Caenorhabditis elegans: one gene and its partners. The protein of the gene in region 1 interacts with the protein of each later gene in a pairwise test. Each region holds a gene or a part of one and is shown in the gene's direction. Other genes may lie near its edges. The genes, in order: bcmo-1, thum-1 and brp-1.

Region 1 (5,971 bases):
CGGAAATTTCCTTCAAAAAAATTTGCAATACAACCATTTGCCAAAAATTTTCGGCAAATTGCCGTTTTCTGCCAAATTCGGCAAAACGGCAAATTGGAGGTTTGCTGATTTGCCGAAATGTTTAATTCCGGCATTTTGCCGAAAACTTCAATTCCGACAATGTACCGATTTGCCGGAAATTATCAATTCCGACAATTTGCCGAAATTTCAATTCCGGCAATATGCCGGTTTGCCGGTTTGCAGGAAATTTTAAATTCCGGCAATTTGCCGGAAAAAATCGTTTGCCGCTCACCCCCTGATTTGCACCAAGTTATCAGAAACATCAAAATAATAAACAACTTAAATAATATGGCATATTTCATATTCATCTAATACAAGAACGTCTAACATTTAATTTAAAATATACCCGCTATTTCACTTTAGAAAGTTATATCTCAATTAATTTTGAAGATATAAATAAATTATTAACTACAAAACGATAGAAAAAGAAAAGAAATAAATATTTCGTCAGTTGGCAATTTTTAAATCGAAAAAACGATAAATAAGATATAAGCTATCAAAGTTGGGGTGCAATACTAACAGAGGGAATACGGTACCAAAAAGAAATATTTTAGTTCTTTCACAATACTGCAAGGTTCCGGTCAAATACAAAATCAAGAGAAATTGTAGAATTGACATATTTGCAGTTATCAAAAATTTATACTAAAAAAATACGACTTCATTTCCCTTATAACAGTTCAATTATTGAGGTCTCTCGGCGCCAATTACCATCCCACGTCCTCCACCACCACCTCGATGACCACCATGTCTGTGTCCTCCACCTCCATGACGATGACCTCTGTGATGACGGCGACCTCCACCACCACCGCCGCCACCCAAAACTTGGCCGATCAGCACGACTTGTTGCTCACCTCCGTCTTCGCAAGAATCTGAAATATTCAAAAATTAGAGCATCAAAGGACTAAAAAATGCTCACCTCCTCCACCACCACCACCAAGCACAATACCACCATCATTTCCATAATCATCATCGTCGCAGTCTTCAGAATGATCAAATGTGATACTACTGCTGACGATGGCCACCAGGAAAATCGAAAACAAAAGTAAATGCTTCATTTTTCTGCAAAATATCGAGCGCTGAGAGCAGTTTTATAGCCAACCTCCGCAATATGGAGTTGTAAAATGTATGTTTTTTTGAAAGAATAGGTTTTTCTTTCTATGTATCTTGGAATCAGCGGAACAGTTGTTAAATGATGACGATTTATTGCACTTTGAATTTTTTCAGAAAAATATTGATATAAGATTCTGAGAAGTAAGAACACGACCTTCTCGACCAGAAACTTTGATATTTGAGCTTTTTCACAACATCATTCTTTACCTCCTTGTCCCTACAGGCACCCGTGACTCCCAAGGCCATCTCGCCCACCTCTGCCTGAAACCGCCAGCTCCACCAAGGCCATCTGTTGAACGATCAAGTTTAAGCTTTTTGAAACATCTCTCATCATCACCAGTGACTAGTGCAAAGTTATTGCAGATCGATTCGGATAATAATACCATCAGAAGCAACGAACACATCAGTTTTGTGGCTTTTTAAATGCTCCTCCATGAGTTGCATAATATTTTTTAATGCATTTTCATGACAGAAAAGAAAAAAAATTCTAGTAAAAAATATGTGGTAATGAATAGGTTTGTTCTATTTCTATGAAAATTGATGAAGCAAGCAAAAGATTTCTATCTATGCACTAAACTATTGTGTACCATTTACGATATTAAAACACATATGGGGGATTAATGAAAGATATATGTATAACGTATACAAATACTTGCTGCGAAGTATCAAAAATGAAAAATAAAAATACCGTTCAATATGATGAAACCCCCAAGTGCCTCGAAAATCGTTTAAAACTTATAAATAAAACAAGTATTTTTAAATTTAAAAGAAAACAATGACATACAGTGTATTTTTTCCACTTCTACGACTTTAAAGGGGGCGCATTTACGCGCGATGGTCCCGGCATTGGTCTCGCCACGCACCCCAAAAATCAATGGGTGGCGCGTGTCGAGACCATCGCGCATAAATGCGCCCCCTTTAAAGTCGTAGAAGTGGAAAGAAAAATGCACTGTATTCAAATTGCCATGTATATTTTTATTATATAACTCTAAACAATTTTTAGCAAATGCTCAGAAATTGTTTTTCCCGAAAAGAAAACTTGATCCGCTGATACTGTAAAGTTGACCTAAAATAAATTAACATTTCAAAACTAATTTGTTGTGGGAAAAAGCCAGAAATTTTAACAACGATTTTTCGAAATATATATGTACATAACAAGAAAAAAATGAATCACAGGAAAAAAAACCGAATTTAAGTCATTTATGTGCTAGGGAATTCAAGCATAATTCAGCCGTTGTATTTGCTTACTATTGTTGACAAATTTAAATAATCAAAAAAAAAGTTTAGAAAAATTTCATAACTTTTTAAAATGTGATATTTTTTGGTGTCATTTATGTCAAAAATCCTAAGGATGAGATTTGTTGAGCACCTAAAACAAAGTCGACATACATATGAACACAAACAACAATTTTCCTCTTGTTTTCAAAAATTCGATCTCCCATTTCAAAAACTCATCACAAACTCCTTTGTGATAATGTCTGCCGTCTCCAATCTCTTTCTATGGACACAATGTGTCCGGTTACTGTATAACTGTCTGTTTCTCTTGAAACAAGGGTACTACATTGTGTTTGTAGTTAAAAAATAATATAGTGGGAGATAAGATTTAGGTGTATATAAAGAAGTAAAAAATTGTGTGAACTAACTCTATATTTTCTTTTCATTTTGTTGACATTTTATTGTTCTAAAAAATGGAAGCTGAAGGATTCCCCCGTCTATTCCACAACTTTGAGAATGTCCCAGAACCCAAAGAGTGCAAAAAAGTTGGCTCAGTGCCAAGTTACCTAACGGGAACAATGCTTCGTAATGGTCCAGGAATGTTCACCGTTGGAGAGGAAGAATACAAGCATTGGTTCGATGGACTCGGTTTTATGCAGAGATATCATTTTGAGGATGGAAAGGTAGGAAACTGTAAAATATATTCTAAAAATGTGCCAACATTCCAGATGTTCTACTCAGCTCGATACCTGGAATCGGAAGCCTACACCAAGACTGTGGAAGCGCAGAGAATAGTGGCTGGAACATTTGGTACTCTAAGCTTCCCGGACCCATGCAAGACTATTTTCTCGAAATACTTTTCGGAATTCATGAATCACTCAGAGAAACATGACAATTCCAACGTGGCATTCACTCCGGTTGGGGATTCGTTGTATGCGTGCACAGAGACACCACACATGTATCGAGTTGATTTGGATACGCTGAAGACTTTGGAAGCAGCTGATTTTTCGAAATTCGTTGCAGTCCACTCTTGCACCGCCCATCAACTTTATGATGAAAACGGGGACGTCTACAATATTGGATCCCGATTTGGACCTGAATCTGCACATGTCTTCACTGTTACTAAGAACCCGAAGAATCAGAAATCCGAAAACGATCACTCCTGGGAGCATACTTCAAAGATCGGAGAGATCAAGGCATCTGACCCCCTATACCCCACATATATGCACTCATTTGGAATGTCAGAAAACTATTTAGTGATGTTCGAGTCGCCTGTACGGCTTCATCTTCAGAAGTATCTGTTGAGCGAGTTTGTTCGTGCAACCTACCATGACTGCTTGGAATGGCATGGTGATAAGGATGTGAGCATTTTCATTTTGAACAAGAAAACTGGAGAGCAACTACCGCTGACGCTGAAAATGAATCCATTCTTTACATTTCATCATGCCAACACTTTCGAGAAAGATGGATGTCTAGTGATGGATTACTGTAGAATTGAAAATGCAGGGAAGTTCGATACATTGCTGATAAGTAACATGAAGACCGGAGAATTTCAATATGTAAGTTTAAACATTAACCACCTTAAAATAACGAGATATGATCCCAATGAAAACATTTCCAGGACGCGAAATTCCTGCCATACCTCACACGTGTCATAGTTCCAATGTCAGTTTCAAGTTCCGCAAAACCTGGAGACAATCTCCTCAAGTCTGTACCCTGGGCGAGTGGATGTACATCAATTCTTCAGGATGACGGATCGATAAGGCTTACAGAGAGACGGGTTTGCGAGACTTGTAAGTTTTATTAAAATATTTGAGGCTGTGTGATGCCTTTTAAAGATCCCAACTGTGGAACCTCTTTGGAATGTTTCGAAACTTTCCAAAATCTAGTAAATTGAAGTAACGTAACTTTAATATTACAGAAAAATTTTGTTTTCTTACGAACCACAAAAAATCCTGAAATTTTCAGCCATGGAATTCCCTCGCTATCATTGGGAAAAAATCAACATGAAAGAATATAGATACGTCTTCGGATCCACTGTTTTTGGAAGAATTGATGGAAATCTCGCTGGGGTTGGTATTTTCAAAAAAAATTTCTAAGCAAAATCAATATAAATTCAGGTTGTCAAAGCTGACTTGAAATTCGGAAACCACTTGATTTGGAATCGCGAGAACCCGCATCAAATCTGCGGGGAGCCCATTTTTGTCCCAAATCCCGAGGGCATCGAGGAGGATGATGGTAGGCAATTTAAAGAGGATCTACTTATAAAAAGTTTTTTTTTTCAGGAATTCTGATTGTTCCAATTATGTCCAGTTCTGAAAAACAAGTCCCATTTGTGCTGATTTTGGACGCAAAAACTCTAGAGGAAACAGCAAGATTTGAGATTCCAGAGGCCAGAATTCCACTTGGATTTCATGCTTTTTACAAACCCAAGAATTGAATACTGTACCTAATGTATAAATATGATAATTAATAAAATTGTTTCAATATGCATGTAGACTGTTACCGTACATTTTTTGATGTACGGATGTACGGGAAGATTTTTGTAGGGTTACTGTATGATCAATGTAGTACATTGATCATACCAGTACTAGAAATTGACTCTGATGTATCCACTGAAAATCATTTATTTAAAAATCACAAACGAGTTATTTATGTAAATCCATTTCCAAAAAAATTGTTCACACTGGCCCATAGCCTGGCTCTTGACTCTTAAACTCTTCTTCTCCGGGCTCAAACGATGGGAGTTGTGCTCCGACACTCCGCTTCTCTTCTGACCAGCCTCTCGAGATTCTTGGGTAGGATGGATGGCTCTTTTGGAGCAAGAACATCCCGCGAATCGGCTGAAAATTGCAGTTTTTTGTTGAAGTGCCAAAAATTCGAAAAAAAAACGCTTACAATTCCACGCTTTTTGAAATCCATATAAGTGCACAACGCAATTACCGGGACCATCATAAACGGAAACACTGCCAAAAGCCATCCGACGATCTGAAGGTAAAAAAAAAAGTTTCTTTAATTGATGAGCATGTCCTCACATCAAAAACAACTGGATAAACAGCTGATTCTCCTTTGAACGGATAGCCTCGGTTAGCCGTCAAAAAGATCAATACACATCCAAAAATCGGCATAATGAACATCCAATTGAATCCATAATACGGGCTGTTGTGGCCGAAAATGTTTGAAATTCGCGTTCCACGACCCAACATTGACGCGATATCCGCCCGGAAGTTTCGCATTCCATAGATGTAGGAAATGATAATGCACATAGAGGTAGCCGATATCAACGCTCCGAATCCTGAGCCATACTCGTCAAAGAGCGCGAACCAGTAGATTCCAGCCTGGAAAATGTGAGAAGAATTTGAACTGTCTGAGGCATTATGGCTAATGTTTAAACTTACGTCAGTTGTCAGGATGACACCACACAAGAAAAGAAGGAAACAGACTCCAATCACCACGAAGACTCGTTTCTCGCGAAGTCGAGGAAACTTGTCACAAAGGCACGTGCACATCACCTCGACAATAACTGCAAAAAACTTTATAAAGCGCTTCTTGGACGCCCATGTCTAGTACGCAGCAGACATCGATT
Region 2 (5,421 bases), on another chromosome or scaffold:
CTAGTAGCGGTTTTTCGCGCTCCATTGAAAATCGGTGAGCGGAAATTGCAGTTCGGCAAAGGAAGGTTTCAAATTCGGCAATTTGCCATTTTGCCGATTTGCCGGAAATTTTGAATTCCGGCAAATTTCACGATTAGCCGGAAATTTTCAACTCCGGCAATTTGCCAGTTTGCCGATTTGCCGGAAATTTTCAATTCCGGCAACTCCCCGATTTGCCGGAAATTGTCAATTCCGGCGAGTTCCCGATTTGCCGGAAATTTTCTATTCCGCCAGTTTGCCGATGTGCAGGAAATTTTCAATTATGGCAATTTGCCGATTTGCCGGAAATTTTAAATTCCGGCAAATTTGCCAGTTTGTCCTAAATTGTCAATTCCGGCGATTTCTTGATTTGCCGGACATTTTCATTTCCGGTAATGTGCCAATTTGCCGAAAATTTTAAATTCCGGCATTTTGCCGATTTGCCGAAAATTTTCAATTCCGGCAAAAATCGACCCCAGCCGTGGCCGAGTCAAAATGGCCTGAATATAATCAAATGTGCTCCAACGCACCAGCCGACTGTGACGGACATTATTCAGGGCTTGACCTACAGAAATCGTTTGACCTACTGGCGCCTCATTATAAACTCATATGACGTCACAAATTTCAATAATTTCCCGCGCTTTCTGGAGGTCAAAGTGCCCATCCTCAACAAAACATCCCGTTCAGGGTCCTATCCCCAAGTCTCCAGACCCTAAAGCCTACAATCATAAAGCTTGTCACTAAATAATTGCCATGTTTTTGTCTGCCAATCAACTGACTGTCCCCCTCCTGCTGTGGTATATTCAGAAGATACCAGAAGCTGTAACAAAAGACGCAGGACGTACAAGACAGGTTGAGAGAGACACTGTGGGGGCGCAGACACACACAAAAAAATCAGGGGGCGGGAAGTGAATCGAGAGAGGAAGAAGCTGGCATCTAGAATACCAGACTGACAGGCGACACACACCACGAAAAAAAAACATGTGGACCTTCAACAGATCTACCGCGGAGGCGCCAACTATGCCGTCAAGCTCTAATACGGTAGGTGGTAACTATTTTACTTTTTCTGGAATTTCATTTTGTAAGCTACCACGGATTTCTGGCTTCCCTCTCATAAATTGAAATGGAAGAGTTTGCCAAACTAGGCCATTTTGGCTCGGCCATAAGTGGGGTAGATTTACGGCGCGTTGCGTGTCGCGTCGCGGCTCGATTTTAGTTGTAAAACTAAGTCTATTTGTCCGTGTGGAGTACACGATTTTAACACGCGTTGTCCGCCGGGCGATTGTCAATGGAGCGCGAAAAATTCTCTGAGGAAAGACAGAACCCCGTGATTTTGGCCTAAAAATCATTAAAACAGGAAAATTGCCGAAATAACGGGGTTCTACCCTTCCTCATTGAATTTTTTGCGCTCCATTGATAATCGTCCGAAGGAAAACGCGTGGGTAAATCGTGTACTCCACACGGACAAATGCATTTAGTTTTACAACTAAAATCGAGCCGCGGCGCGACACTCAACTCGCCGTAAATCTACCCCAGTAATGGCCGAGCCAAAATGGCCTAGTTTGGCAAACTCTTCCATTTCAATTTATGAGGGTAATCAGAAATTCGTCATTTTGGCCTAAAAACACCAATTTGGCCTAAAAACATTAAAACCACGGGAAATTTGAAACAGGAAAAAAATGGCAAAAAATTCTTGGAAACCGGCGAAATCGGCATAACTAATCCAAAACGTTCGAATGTACTATTTTGCCGCCAAACACCTAGCGGGTCATGGTGCGGGGGCCGAGAATTTCCTATTGGCAGTGGAGCGCGTTTCCACGTGGATTTTTCTGCGTACCCATAATAGCCGCGTCACACAGTTAGTCACCCAATTTACTACCTAATTGCATGGCCTTTGTGTCGGAACTCGTTTTTTTCGTAATGTCGCAACACATGGTACATAGATAAAAATCTCGAGATAACCTATAGTTCAGTTCAAATGTGAAGCAAATTTACTGGTGAATCGGGAAAAAACTGGTAAATTGTTCGGGATATATACTTATTATACATCAAAAATTGCTCGAAAAATTGTGAATTTCAGCTTTTTTTTCAGGAAATATATATTTTCTAGAAGAAGAATACCGGAAAAAGGTGCGGGTCATTTTGCACGCCATCACGAAATTTTCGCAAATTCCAGCGTTTCCGTCAAAATAGTAAATGTATATTCAAAATTTTTTCATCTAATTATCAAGTGAGGCTGCTCTTTTCAAGTTTCGCTGTAAAGAACCGCCTCTTTTTCGTAGTTTGTTTCACATAAAGTGGTGGTGACTCTGCAATTAAAGGTGTGCAAACGCGCTCTGTGGTTACGTGCAAGAGAGAAGAGATTTAGAGAAGTTGGAGGGAATATTAATTGTTTTTTTTTGTTTTTAATTGTTTTTATGTGTTTTTTTCGCATTTTTCGTTGATTTTTCGTTAAAAAACTTCAAAAACAATAATTTTCATTCAAAAATTTCAATTTTTCCAGAAAAAATCACTGAAAATGGCAGATAACGACAGAAAACGAAAGCATAACCGATGGAATCAAAAGTGAGAGCTAAAATTTGAGAAAAAAAAACTATTCTAAGACAATTTCAGAGTTAAACAAAAATCTGTGGAAGCCGGAGTGACCGGACTATTCTTTTCCTGCGAAGGCCACGAAAAGCAGGCCCTACAAGAAGCCTACAGTATTATTGACGAGCTTCTCGAAGACCCGGCGAATGGAATCTCTCTTAAAGCACCAGAAGCTGCTCCACAAGGCTCAGAAGCACCCGGAAATCCAGCAGAAGCTGAAGATTCCGATGAAGACATTGCCGATGCGTTGAAAAAGGCTTGTGATGATCAGAGGCAGCCGAAGCCGGGAAATTTCGTGAAAAAAGAGAGAAGATGCATTCAAAGACCGACGGGAGTGAAGAATTGCATTTTTGTGAGCGTGAAAAACGCGAATATTCAACTTTTAGCCGAAAAAATGGTCGAGCTGACGCAAAAAGCTCCGCGTTGCAGGTTTTTGCAACGAGTTTACCCGGTGGAGCATACTTTAGCTGTGGATCTTTCAAAAATGAATGAAGTTTTGATGAAGGTGCTTTTATTTAATTAAATTAATTAATAAAATAAAAAAAAGTAATTTTTCAGGTAATCTCCGACACATTGAAGGCAGACGGCACTGGCAAACTTCCCACGTATTCCGTGGAATTTAAAGCGAGAAATAACGATTCTGTGGCGAAGAATTCCGTGCTCCAAATGGTCGATGACGCCGTTTGTGCGCTGGCTCCGACTGCGAGAGTTAGCCTAAATCGTTAGTGTCTCTAAAAATCTGAAAAAATTTCAAAAAAATCAAAAAATCAATGATTCCAGACGCCGACGTCACATTCTTCGTTCAAGTATCTCGTACGACAATTATGGTTGGCGTGTGCCGGCAATTTTACGACCGCCGAAAGTATAGTCTTCGTGCGACGCCGGCAGCGGCAGCGACATAAGTCTCTTCTTCGACCTTTTTCCCCCTTTCACCCAGCGCCTCATTGGCTCAGTGGCAGAGCGTCTGTCTAGTAAACAGAAGGTCGCTGGTTCGATTCCAGCATGAGGCACCGAATTTTTTTTGTTTTTTTCATTTGTTCTGTTAAAATACTTTGGCTATTTATTTGTTAAAATACATGAAATTTGAGATTCGATTGTTAATTATTTTTTAAATGCATGGTATCTATAACTGTGACGTGTCAAAAACTCAGGTCGACCCTTGCTCGCGCGCGTCTCATGCACAACCGAGCAAGAAAAAAAACGTGCAACCAACCCGAAAATCTAGCTCACCCGTTCTGCGCACTCCCCAAAATCAACACTATTTCGCTCTCTCGCAGCTCTTCCAAATTGTCAAACAAACCGAGTAGTTACACGCACCCCCCGCCGAAACTCGGGAGCATTCAATCTGGCCTGGTTTTCCAGTATGCTGAAATTTTTTGGACTATTGTAAATTGTTTGTGAAAAAGGTCTCGCCACGAACGAAATATTTTTACAATAATCATTTGTGTGAAATGCTGTGCGTCTTTTTACCCGTTTATTGCAATTTTCACATGGTGTCAGGTTGTCCCATAACGGTTTGATCTACAAAAAATGCGGGATTTTTTCCACCAAAAAATGTGACGCCATCTGCACGTTCTTAACCATGCAAAATCAATTGAGAAGTCTGCGTCCAAATTCCCGCATTTTTGTAGATCAAACCGTTATGGGGCATTCTGACACCACGTGATTTTTCTGAAATTCTCTTAATTTTACGCCAAAAATACGGTACCCTGGTCTCGACACGACAAATTTCTGTCAAATGCGAATAGGTGTGCGCTTTTAAGGAGTACTGTAGTTTGGAACTTTCGTTGCTGCCGGATTTTCGTCGATTTTTATAGCTTTTCGATAAAAATTCAACTACAAAAAACCTATAAAAAACGATTACAACCCCGCCGCCGCATTGAAATTTTAAAACTACAGAACTCTTTCGCATTCAACAAAAATTTGTCGTGCCGAGACCAGGGCACAGTATTCTTGGCGCAAAAATTACAAAATGTCGGTTTTGGGTAATATTCTGCAGACTGAAATTTTGGCGCATGCATAACATAGTTGACGCGCAAAATATATCTCGTAGCGAAAACTACAGTAACCCCTTAAATGACTACTGTAGCGCTGGTGTGTCGATTTACGGGCTCCATTTCCGAGTCTATAGAATATTAAAATCCAGTAGATTTTTTTCGAAAAGAAAATCATTTTAAAAAATCGAGCCCGTAAATCGACACAAGCGCTACAGTAGTCATTTAAAGAGTTACTGTAGTTTTCGCTAAGAGATGTTTTGCGCGTCAAATATGCTGCGCAGTACGCATTCTCAGAATTTTGTGTTCCCGTAATATCATCACGGCCCGAGAACTGGTACTCTTAAAAACGACACCTTCATTTTATGAAATTTGAAAAACAAAATGATCGAAAAAAAAAATTCTCTAATTTTTACACGGAATTCTGGCTTCCTTCATAAATTGAAATGTAAGGGTTTTGCCGAACTAGGCCATTTTGGCTCGGCCATATCTGGGGTAGATTTACGGCGCGTTGCGTGTCGCGTCGCGGTTCGATTTTAGTTGTAAAACTAAATTTCGTTGTCCGTGTGTGGAGTACACGGCTTTCCCACGCGGTGTCCGTCAGGCGGTTGTCAGTGGAGCGCGAAAAATGCAATGAGGAAGGCCAGAACCCCGTGGTAGGCAAATTTCGTACCACTTCTCGGGACATACCGTTATGTCAATTTTCCAAAAATTTCAACAAAAAACGAAAAGGTTTTGAATCCAGTTCTAGGCCATATTTTCACTTTTTCGTCGTCATCATCGTTTCACCTTCTTCTCACTTTTTTAATACGCGCAGATA
Region 3 (8,835 bases), on another chromosome or scaffold:
TACCTTGTTTCAATTATTTTCATGGGGGAAGGACGTTTTTAAATAATTTTCTTTTGAAACTAGTTTTTTAGTTACCACTTTTTCATCTTACCCTTTAATGCTTAACGTTGGCCATCCAACTTACCGTTTTTCTTCTATTAGTATTGCACCCGACTATTTAACTTTGAAACGTTATATCTTGGTTCATTTTAATGATATCAATATATTGTTAACCAAGAAATTATAGAAAACGAGCTAACAAATATTTTGTTAGTTGACAATTTTTAAATAGAACTAACTATAACTGAGATATAAGCTGTCAAAGTTGAACAATTGGGGGGGGGGGGGGAATACTAATACGGTAAACTAAATATTATGCTCCTCAAATAGTAACATCCCTTATAGTAATAGGATTTGATAAGTAAGTAAATACCGTATTAACTCTTTTGTTGGTCTATTGAAAATTGCAAAATTTCATAAAAAACCTAAACATTTTCAAATTCCATCTAAATATTTTTTTTTGTTCTGTTATTTTCCTCCAATACGAGACAAAACCTAACCTTGAACCCCCAAAGTGGAACCGTTTCTACTCTGTTCTTTTGCCAGTTGAAGGTGATGTTTTTGTCAAAATATAAGGGTAACCTTCAACAATTTTCTTTCATGTGAAAAATGAAAGACATTTGAAACGGTCAATTGAGTAAGGTGGAGGAGACTCTGCCCCCACAAGAGTGCCCCCACAAGAGTGGGGGAGAAATAAGAAATAATAAAATAAGTAGGCAAGCGTAGGTGGGGGGGGGGGGAGGGGAATACTGTAATTCTGATCGGAGAATATTTAAAATTGTGGCAACCACATTAAAAACCGATAATAACTTATAATAGGACAAAAATAATTTGGAATATACCGTATTTCCTCTTTTAGTTTTGCACCCCTTTGCTCAACTTTGACAGCTCATATCTCATTTTGTTTTGAACATATAAATAATTAACAAACTACAAACTATAGAAAAACATCTCACAAAAATTTTATCAGTTGACAACTTTTCTATGGAACAAAGAACTACTGAGATATGAGCTGTCAAAGTTGAGCAAGCGGGTGCAAAACTAATAGAGGAAATACGGTATGTATCGTAAACTTCTGTATATACATACTTCCCTGTTAGTGTTGCATGTATCAGGGTTGGGCGGTAAATAATTTTTCCGCCAAATTGGCGAATTGCCGGAATTGAAATTTTCAGCAAGTCGGTAAACCGGCAAATTGCCGATTTGCCGCATTTTCCAGAAAAACGGCAATTGTCGGACAGATTGTGGTTTTGCATTTTTTTTTTGTTCGAAATTTCGTGTTTCACTATCAGTCTCATAAAAAAGCCCTCTAAAAACTTCCGGCAAATCGGAAATTTGCCGAAAATCGAAAATTCCGGAATATCAGCAAACCGGCAGTTTGCCGCCCACCAATACTAGTTCTAAATGAATATTTTTTAGAGCAAACGGGCTTTTTCTCACCAATTTTTTCGTTTTAAGACAGTTCTCGATATGAGTTTAACTAACTAAAAATCACAAAATTTACAAAAAAAATTATTATAACTCACATTTTTTAAAAATCATGCAGAGCGCTAAAAATACCAAAAATCATACTAAAACATTTCAAAAAAATGTAGACATTTTTTCGAAGAATCTGCAGCATGTATGAATATTTCAAAAATAATTAAAGCATAAAACTGGAATCAGAACTTTTTTTTTAACTCAAAATGAAAAATGTTCCGAAATTATATTAATAGCTTTACTATGATATTTGTTCATTTTAGGCCGTACTCCACCTTGTATGCAGGCACATTAATATTTATAATAAGAGAAAAATAAACCCTCCGCATTTGAATTAACACATCCTACCTATTTTTACCTGAACCATCAAACTTTGTATATTATACTCTGCCCTTAAACCCTTGCTGCAAAAAATGGAAAAGAAATCAAAAATCAAAGTATCCTTTATCATTTTAAAATTTTTCACAGAAATCTTTATCATCATCTGATCGAGATTTTCTGGTCAAAAACAAAAACGAATGACGTCATTCCTCTCTCAAGTGTACAGTAACCAAGTGGCCGGCTATTTTAAAAACTCGTTTTGTGTGTTTCTTCAAAACTTGGTGTCACTTCCTATCAAAACATCGGGAGATCATTTTTTGTTCATTTTCCTACACCGCGCGGAAGAGTCGTGAATGCCAACCTGTCAAAAATGTTTAATGCTCCGCGAGAGAAAGTGAGCCGCTTCTCTAATTCTCCTATTGTGCGCATTGATCTCTTCTCTTTTTTTTGTTTTTGTCTTTTACTCGAATATCTAATCAAGAATCATTTACAGATGACCAAACTAGGCGCACAGCCCGGCGTTCACGGGAGTGAGGACGTTGAGAAGGAGTCTATCAAGATCGATCCAAAAGTGAGTTTCTATTAAAAATATTCAAATTTTCTGAGAACTGTTTTTAGTGCGAAGTTCAAATTTTCTCATAAAAAAATTTCAGCTGGAAATTCGAATTTTTTTTAAGAGATCACGTTTTGGCGCGAATTACAAATTTTATGAGTAACAAGTCGTAGTGTCAGAGTGTCCCATTTCGGCTTGATCTACATAGATCTACAAAAAATGCGGGATTTCAGACGCAGGCTTCTCAGCTGATTTCGCATGGTTAAGAACATGGCTGACGTCATGTTTTTTGGGCAAAAAAGTTCCTGCATTTTTTGTAGATCAAACCGTGATGGGGCAGCCCGGCACCACGTGTAAAAACAGTTTGCCTCGAAATTCAAAATTTTTCACAAAAAAATTTTAGCTGGAAAATCAAATTTTCTGAGAAAACGTATATTGGCGCGAAGTTCAAATTTTATTAGAAATTTTTTTGGCGCTAATTTAAAGTTTTATGAGAAAATACATTTGACTCGAAATTCAAACTTTATGAGAAAACGTATTTTGCCGCGAAATTTAAATTATCCGAGAATAATTTTTGGCGCGAAATTCAAATTTTCTGAGAACATTTTTTGGCGCGAAATTCAAATTTTCTCACAAAGAATATATTCGGTAACAATAATAATAATAACGTTAGTAGAAATATCAACAAAATCTGAATTATTCCAGGTGTTCACAGTCCTCCAGCCCACAGTGATCCCAATGCCGGCTCCACCAATGAAGCCTGCTCCATCGCCAGCTTTCCAGGCGATGAGAGCATGCTTCCATTGCATGTTCTTTGCCACGTGTCTTTTGCTGGTGACACTCATCGGTTTCTACTTCCTCGCCGCTACTCCTGATCTCTTCAAGGTACAGGGTTTTTTTTTAATTTTAAGCTTTTTTAAACTTAATTAATTGATATTCCAGAAAACCGAAACATCCGTGAACAAGCCACAAATGGAGGCACTTCTAGCTCAACCAATTGATGGATCATCTGAAAAGACTATAAACTCTGCGGAAAATCCAGGAATGATGGCAATTCCCTTGGCTCGGGTAGTTGTAGTGGAGGATATTTCGAATAATGAAGGTCAAAAGAAGACAACTGTTGATGGATCAGTTGAGGAGAAGTCCTCTACCAATTTGGATCGCCCACTTCATCCAGATGAGATTGAGGTTAGTTACCAAATTATACCATATATATACATAAATATGGATTTGTATATATATATATATATAAATATATATATATATATATATATATATATATATATATATATATATATATATATATATATATATATGCATATGTAGGGCTTCCATAGACAGGCGCGGTTCCAGGGCCTGCCTGAAGGGAATGCCTACCCGCCTCAAGCCAGCTAAACTGCTTTAAAAATTTTAGGCCATTTTTTGAGCTGCCATAACTTTTTTTTCAAGAGGTTTTTAAGAAGTTTCATTAAGAAATTCGATATTTTCAGACAATTTTGAGTCTAATAAATCAATAAAAGCAATTTTTTCAGCAATACCGAATGATGGAGGCCCGCCAACAATTCCAACAAATAATGGAGGAACGTATGTACATGCAACAAATGATGGCAATGCGAATGATGAGAATGAGAAGACTTCAAGCCGCCTACTACCAACAACAACAAATGAAGATGGCCTACATGCAACAACAACAGCAACAGATGCAGGAAGAGGCCGCCCGTCAGCAATGGGCCGAGAGATCCCGCTATGAAGAGGAACAACGTCGTCAGTACGAGGCTCAACAGACCTATGCTCAACAGCAGCGTGCTCAAGCTTTCTGGCAACAACATCAGTTGGAGATGCAGGCTCAGACTCAGCAGGCTCAGGCCCAGGCCCAATGGCAACAGCAGGAGCAACAGCCACAGGAGCAGCAGAGACAGAGATTCTGGCCAAGACCAATGATGCATCAGCAACAATGGGAGAGACCAACTGTCTGGCAGGTAAGGCGATTTGTAGATTTTTAGATGATGGGCTACGAATTTTTTGGCATTTGGATTTTAGACACATTTTCCATTTTGAAAAATTTGAATTTTTGCTTTTTTTTTTCATAATTTTTTTCAAAAAACTTCGAAAATTTTTCGTCGTATTTGGATCAGGGGTGGGCGGCAATTGCAGTTCGGCAAATTTTTTTTGAGTAAATTGGCAACTGAAAATCGGCAATTTGCCGGTTAGCCGATTTGCCGGAAACTTTTGATTCCGGCAACTTGTCGGTTTTCCGGGAATTTCCAATTCCGGTAATTTGCCGATTCGCCTGAAATTTTCAATTCCGACAGTTTTCCGATTTGCCTGAAATTATCAATTCCGGCATTTTGCAGATTTGCCGGAAATTGTAAATTTTGGCAATTTGCCGATTTGCCGGAAATGTTCAATTCCGGCAATTTTTAGATTTGCCTGAAATTATGAATTCCGGCAGTTCGCCGGTTTGCCGGAAATTTTCCATTCCGGCAGTTTGTCGATTTGCCGGAAATTTTCAATTCCGGAAATTTGTCAATTTGCATGAAATTTTTAATTCCGGCAATTTGCCTGAAATTATCAATTCCGGCAGTTTGTCGATTTGCCGGAAATTTTTAATATCGGCAATTTGCTGATGTGCCGGAAGTTATCAATTCCTGCAATTTGCCGATTTGCCTGAAATTTTCAATTCCGGCAGTTTGTCGACTTGCCGGAAATTTCAGTTCCGGCACTTCGCCGGTGTGCCGGAAAATCTTAATTCCGGCAACTTGCCGATAAGCCAGAGATTGTGAATTCCGGCAATTCGCCGGCTTGCCGAAAAAAATCGTTTGCCGCCCACCTCTGTTTTTTGCTTAGTTTTCGGGATCTGAAACCGATAAAAATTTTCACTATTTTTTTTGTCAAAAAACCATCAAAAAAATTCCAGCAACCACCCCAACAATTCTTCTTCCCATCCCAACAACAACAGCAGCATCAGCAGCAACCACAACAGACCCAACAACCTGAGGACCGTTTCCCACAGGCTCCACAATTCTTCCAACCAATCCCACAACCATCAGTTCACGATAAGATCTACGAGGAACTTCAGAAGAAGTCGCAGAACATTCCAGTCAACGCACCAACTCGTCAAATCTGTTAGTTGTTTTTTTTGCAAAAAGCCCAAAAATTTCAATTAATCTTGTATCAGGGACAGCAATCACTCCAACTCCAGCTCCAGAAGCTGCATCTGGAACTGCTGACGTCACAGCTTCACCCATCAACACTGCATTCCCAGCAGTTGTCACGAGCAGCACACCAATGCCAGAGGATGCCGCTGAGGTTTCTGATACTATTCTCAGAGATATCTTCTCAGCTTTCGATGAGCAAAAGAATTCAGAGGTTTGTACATCAGGAACATGTTGGTTCGGCAAATCGGCAAATCGGCGAATCGCCGGTTTACCAATTTGCTGCCGATTTGCCGGAAATTTTGCCGATTTGCCGGAAATTTTCATTTTCGGCACTTTGCCAGTTTGCCGATTTGCAGGAAATTTTCTATTTCGGCAACTTGCCGGTTTGCCAATTTGCCGAAAATTTTCAATTCCGGCAATTTGCCAATTTGCCGGAAGTTTGAGTTCCGGCAATCTGTCGATTTTCCGATTGACCGGAAATTACAATACCGGCAGTTTGCCAATTTTCCGGAAATTTTCATTTTCGGCACTTTGCCAGTTTGCCGATTTGCAGGAAATTTTCTATTTCGGCAATTTGTCAAAAATTTAAGTTCAGGCAATTTGCGGATCTGGTTCCAGCAGTTTGCCGATTTGCCAAAAGTTTTAATTCGGGCAATTCACCTATTTGCCGAAAATTTCAATTCCGGCTCTCTGCCGGTTTGCCGAGTTGCCGGATATCAATTTGCCGGAAGTGTTTAGAAAGATTGTTTATTTATATATAGTCGGCACGGTACAATTTTGCCGACTAATATTGTAATTCTGAAGTTCTGAAATTGCCAAAAAAAAGTGCAAAACCACAATTTGCCGGAATTAAAATTTCTGGCAAATCGGCAAACCGGCAAAAATTTGAATTTCAAAAAGGCAAGTGTTTCCGTCTTATAAAAAATTTCTCTAAAAATTTCCGGCAAATTGATGTTCGGTAAACGGCAAATCAGCAATTTTCCGAAAATCAAAATTTCCGGCAAATTGACAAACCGGCAATTTGCCAAATTTGCCGAACGGCAATTTCCGGCCCACCCCTGTTTTGTGCTCACTGAGGCATAATGAGTAATATTCCAGGCGGCCAACAAAGAGCTCAACTCAGCCACCCCATCAACCACCGAAGAGCCAGAACTCGAAGGAAAGGGAGCAATTGTGATTGAGGACAGCTTCCCAAGAATCGAAGAACGCACCACAACACCTGAACCAATGGAATCTGAAGAAGATGCTGAACATACATCATCTGAAGATAATCATGAGAAGGAGTTGGATCCATTCGCAGCTGTTCTCAAATTCTTCGAGAACAATCCACCACGTGAGGCTCTCGAGGCAGCAGGGGCTGAGACAGCAGCAACCACTCAGAAACCATTGAAACCACTGATTGTTTGAGAATTTTAATTTTGAGCTGAGCTAAAAAAAAATAATTTTCGAATGTAATAATTGTTATACAATTCGTCCTCCCCCGATTATTTTCCATCATCATCATCATCCCATCTTTTACGCGTGCAGGTTTGTAAATAAAATTATTCGCTGTTGAATTTGTATTTGCAAATCAAGAAAAAAAAAGTATTTATTTCAGAACGTGTGGTGTCAGAGTGTCCCATGTTGGTTTGATCTACGTAGATCTACAAAAAATGCGGCAGAGTTCTCAACTGATTTCGCATGGTTAAGAACGTGCTGACGTCACACTTTTTTTGGCAAAAAATTGCCGCATTTTTTGTAGATCAAACCGTGGTGGGACAGCCTGGCACCACGTGTTTCCAAGGAACTTTCAAAACTTCATCACATTTGTTAAATCCGACTGTCTAACCAGCATCCCATTCTCGATTCGTTTTGCATAGACGTAACATCGATTGATTAGAATGAATTTGATTATTGATACTGAAAAATTTTTAAACAATTTTTCGCTTTAAATTACAGAATATACGCCTAGAATATATGACCAAATATGACTGTGAAAATTTTTTCAAAAATGTCCTAAACTTTTAGTGAATTTTTACATATTTCAAAATTCATAGAAACGACCGAATTAAATTTGAAACATTTGAATTCCCGCGCAAATGAGTGACGTCATTTTCGATATTTTGGCAAATCGGCAAAATGGCGAAATTGAAATTTCCGGCAAATCGGCAAAATGGCGATATTGAAATTTCCGGCAAATCGGGAAAAGGGCGAAATTGAAATTTCTGGCAAATTGCCGGAATTGAACTTTCCCGAAAATTGTCAAGTTGCCGATGTTGAAATTTCCGGCAAATCTGTAAATTGCCGGAATTGAAATTTCCGGCAAATCGGCAAAATGGCGAAATTGAAATTTCCGGCAAATCGGCAAAATGGCGAAATTGAAATTTCCGGCAAATCGGGAAAAGGGCGAAATTGAACTTTCCCGAAAATTGTCAAGTTGCCGATGTTGAAATTTCCGGCAAATCTGTAAATTGCCGGAATTGAAATTTCCGGCAAATCGGCAAAATGGCGAAATTGAAATTTCCGGCAAATCGGCAAAATGGCGAAATTGAAATTTCCGGCAAATCGGGAAAAGGGCGAAATTGAACTTTCCCGAAAATTGTCAAGTTGCCGATGTTGAAATTTCCGGCAAATCTGTAAATTTCCGGAATTGAAATTTCCGGCAAATCGGGAAAAGGGCGAAATTTAAATTTCCGGCAAATCGGCAAAATGGCGAAATTTAAATTTCCGGCAAATCGGCAAAATGGCGAAATTGAAATTTCCGGCAAATCGGCAAAATGGCGAAATTTAAATTTCCGGCAAATCGGGAAAAGGGCGAAATTGAAATTTCTGGCAAATTGCCGGAATTGAACTTTCCCGAAAATTGTCAAGTTGCCGATGTTGAAATTTCCGGCAAATCTGTAAATTGCCGGAATTGAAATTTCCGGCAAATCGGCAAATCACCGGAATTTTCTGGCAAATCTGCAAAAGAAAAATAAATAAAACCAGAAGAGTTTAGCCAGAAAAAGCGAAAATATCGAAAATGACGTCACGTATTTGCGCGGGAATTCGAAAAAAATCATTTGAAAAATTAGGATTTTTTATTTATTTTTACAATTATATCGGACATTAGGGGTTTTTCAGTCATTTAAAAATAATAGCGAAAAATTTTCTGACTCTACTCCGCCTTTGAATAAAAATTAAAAGATTGCTAGTTCGAAAAATGTTTGAAAAAAGTTATATGATGAATTTTCGGAATTAATTTAATTCAAAAACCCACATGTAACAGAAATTGTCATGATTATTTCCACAGAATATCCTGTCAAA

What was found.
Region 2: the proteins of bcmo-1 (region 1) and thum-1 interact in a two-hybrid assay, tested with the Caenorhabditis elegans proteins (one large-scale study listed by BioGRID).
Region 3: the proteins of bcmo-1 (region 1) and brp-1 interact in a two-hybrid assay, tested with the Caenorhabditis elegans proteins (one large-scale study listed by BioGRID).

What each region holds. Positions count from the first base shown.
Region 1 is NC_003280.10:12,827,849-12,833,819, forward strand, and holds bcmo-1 (Beta,beta-carotene 9',10'-oxygenase), read left to right. Parts: upstream 1-2,827; 5' UTR 2,828-2,858; coding exon 2,859-3,068; intron 3,069-3,113; coding exon 3,114-3,944; intron 3,945-4,006; coding exon 4,007-4,178; intron 4,179-4,353; coding exon 4,354-4,457; intron 4,458-4,505; coding exon 4,506-4,623; intron 4,624-4,670; coding exon 4,671-4,825; 3' UTR 4,826-4,869; downstream 4,870-5,971. Other genes in the region: Y46G5A.23 (FIP (Fungus-Induced Protein) Related), read right to left, coding at 742-929, 977-1,115.
Region 2 is NC_003283.11:2,670,465-2,675,885, forward strand, and holds thum-1 (THUMP domain-containing protein), read left to right. Parts: upstream 1-2,521; 5' UTR 2,522-2,536; coding exon 2,537-2,583; intron 2,584-2,631; coding exon 2,632-3,112; intron 3,113-3,165; coding exon 3,166-3,328; intron 3,329-3,387; coding exon 3,388-3,509; 3' UTR 3,510-3,703; downstream 3,704-5,421. Other genes in the region: kel-8 (BTB domain-containing protein), read left to right, coding at 1,000-1,059.
Region 3 is NC_003281.10:12,018,220-12,027,054, forward strand, and holds brp-1 (uncharacterized protein), read left to right. Parts: upstream 1-2,332; coding exon 2,333-2,410; intron 2,411-3,097; coding exon 3,098-3,277; intron 3,278-3,334; coding exon 3,335-3,580; intron 3,581-3,924; coding exon 3,925-4,371; intron 4,372-5,309; coding exon 5,310-5,517; intron 5,518-5,570; coding exon 5,571-5,761; intron 5,762-6,648; coding exon 6,649-6,957; 3' UTR 6,958-7,102; downstream 7,103-8,835. Other genes in the region: Y79H2A.12 (Serpentine Receptor, class BC (Class B-like)), read right to left, coding at 7,340-7,449, 8,789-8,835.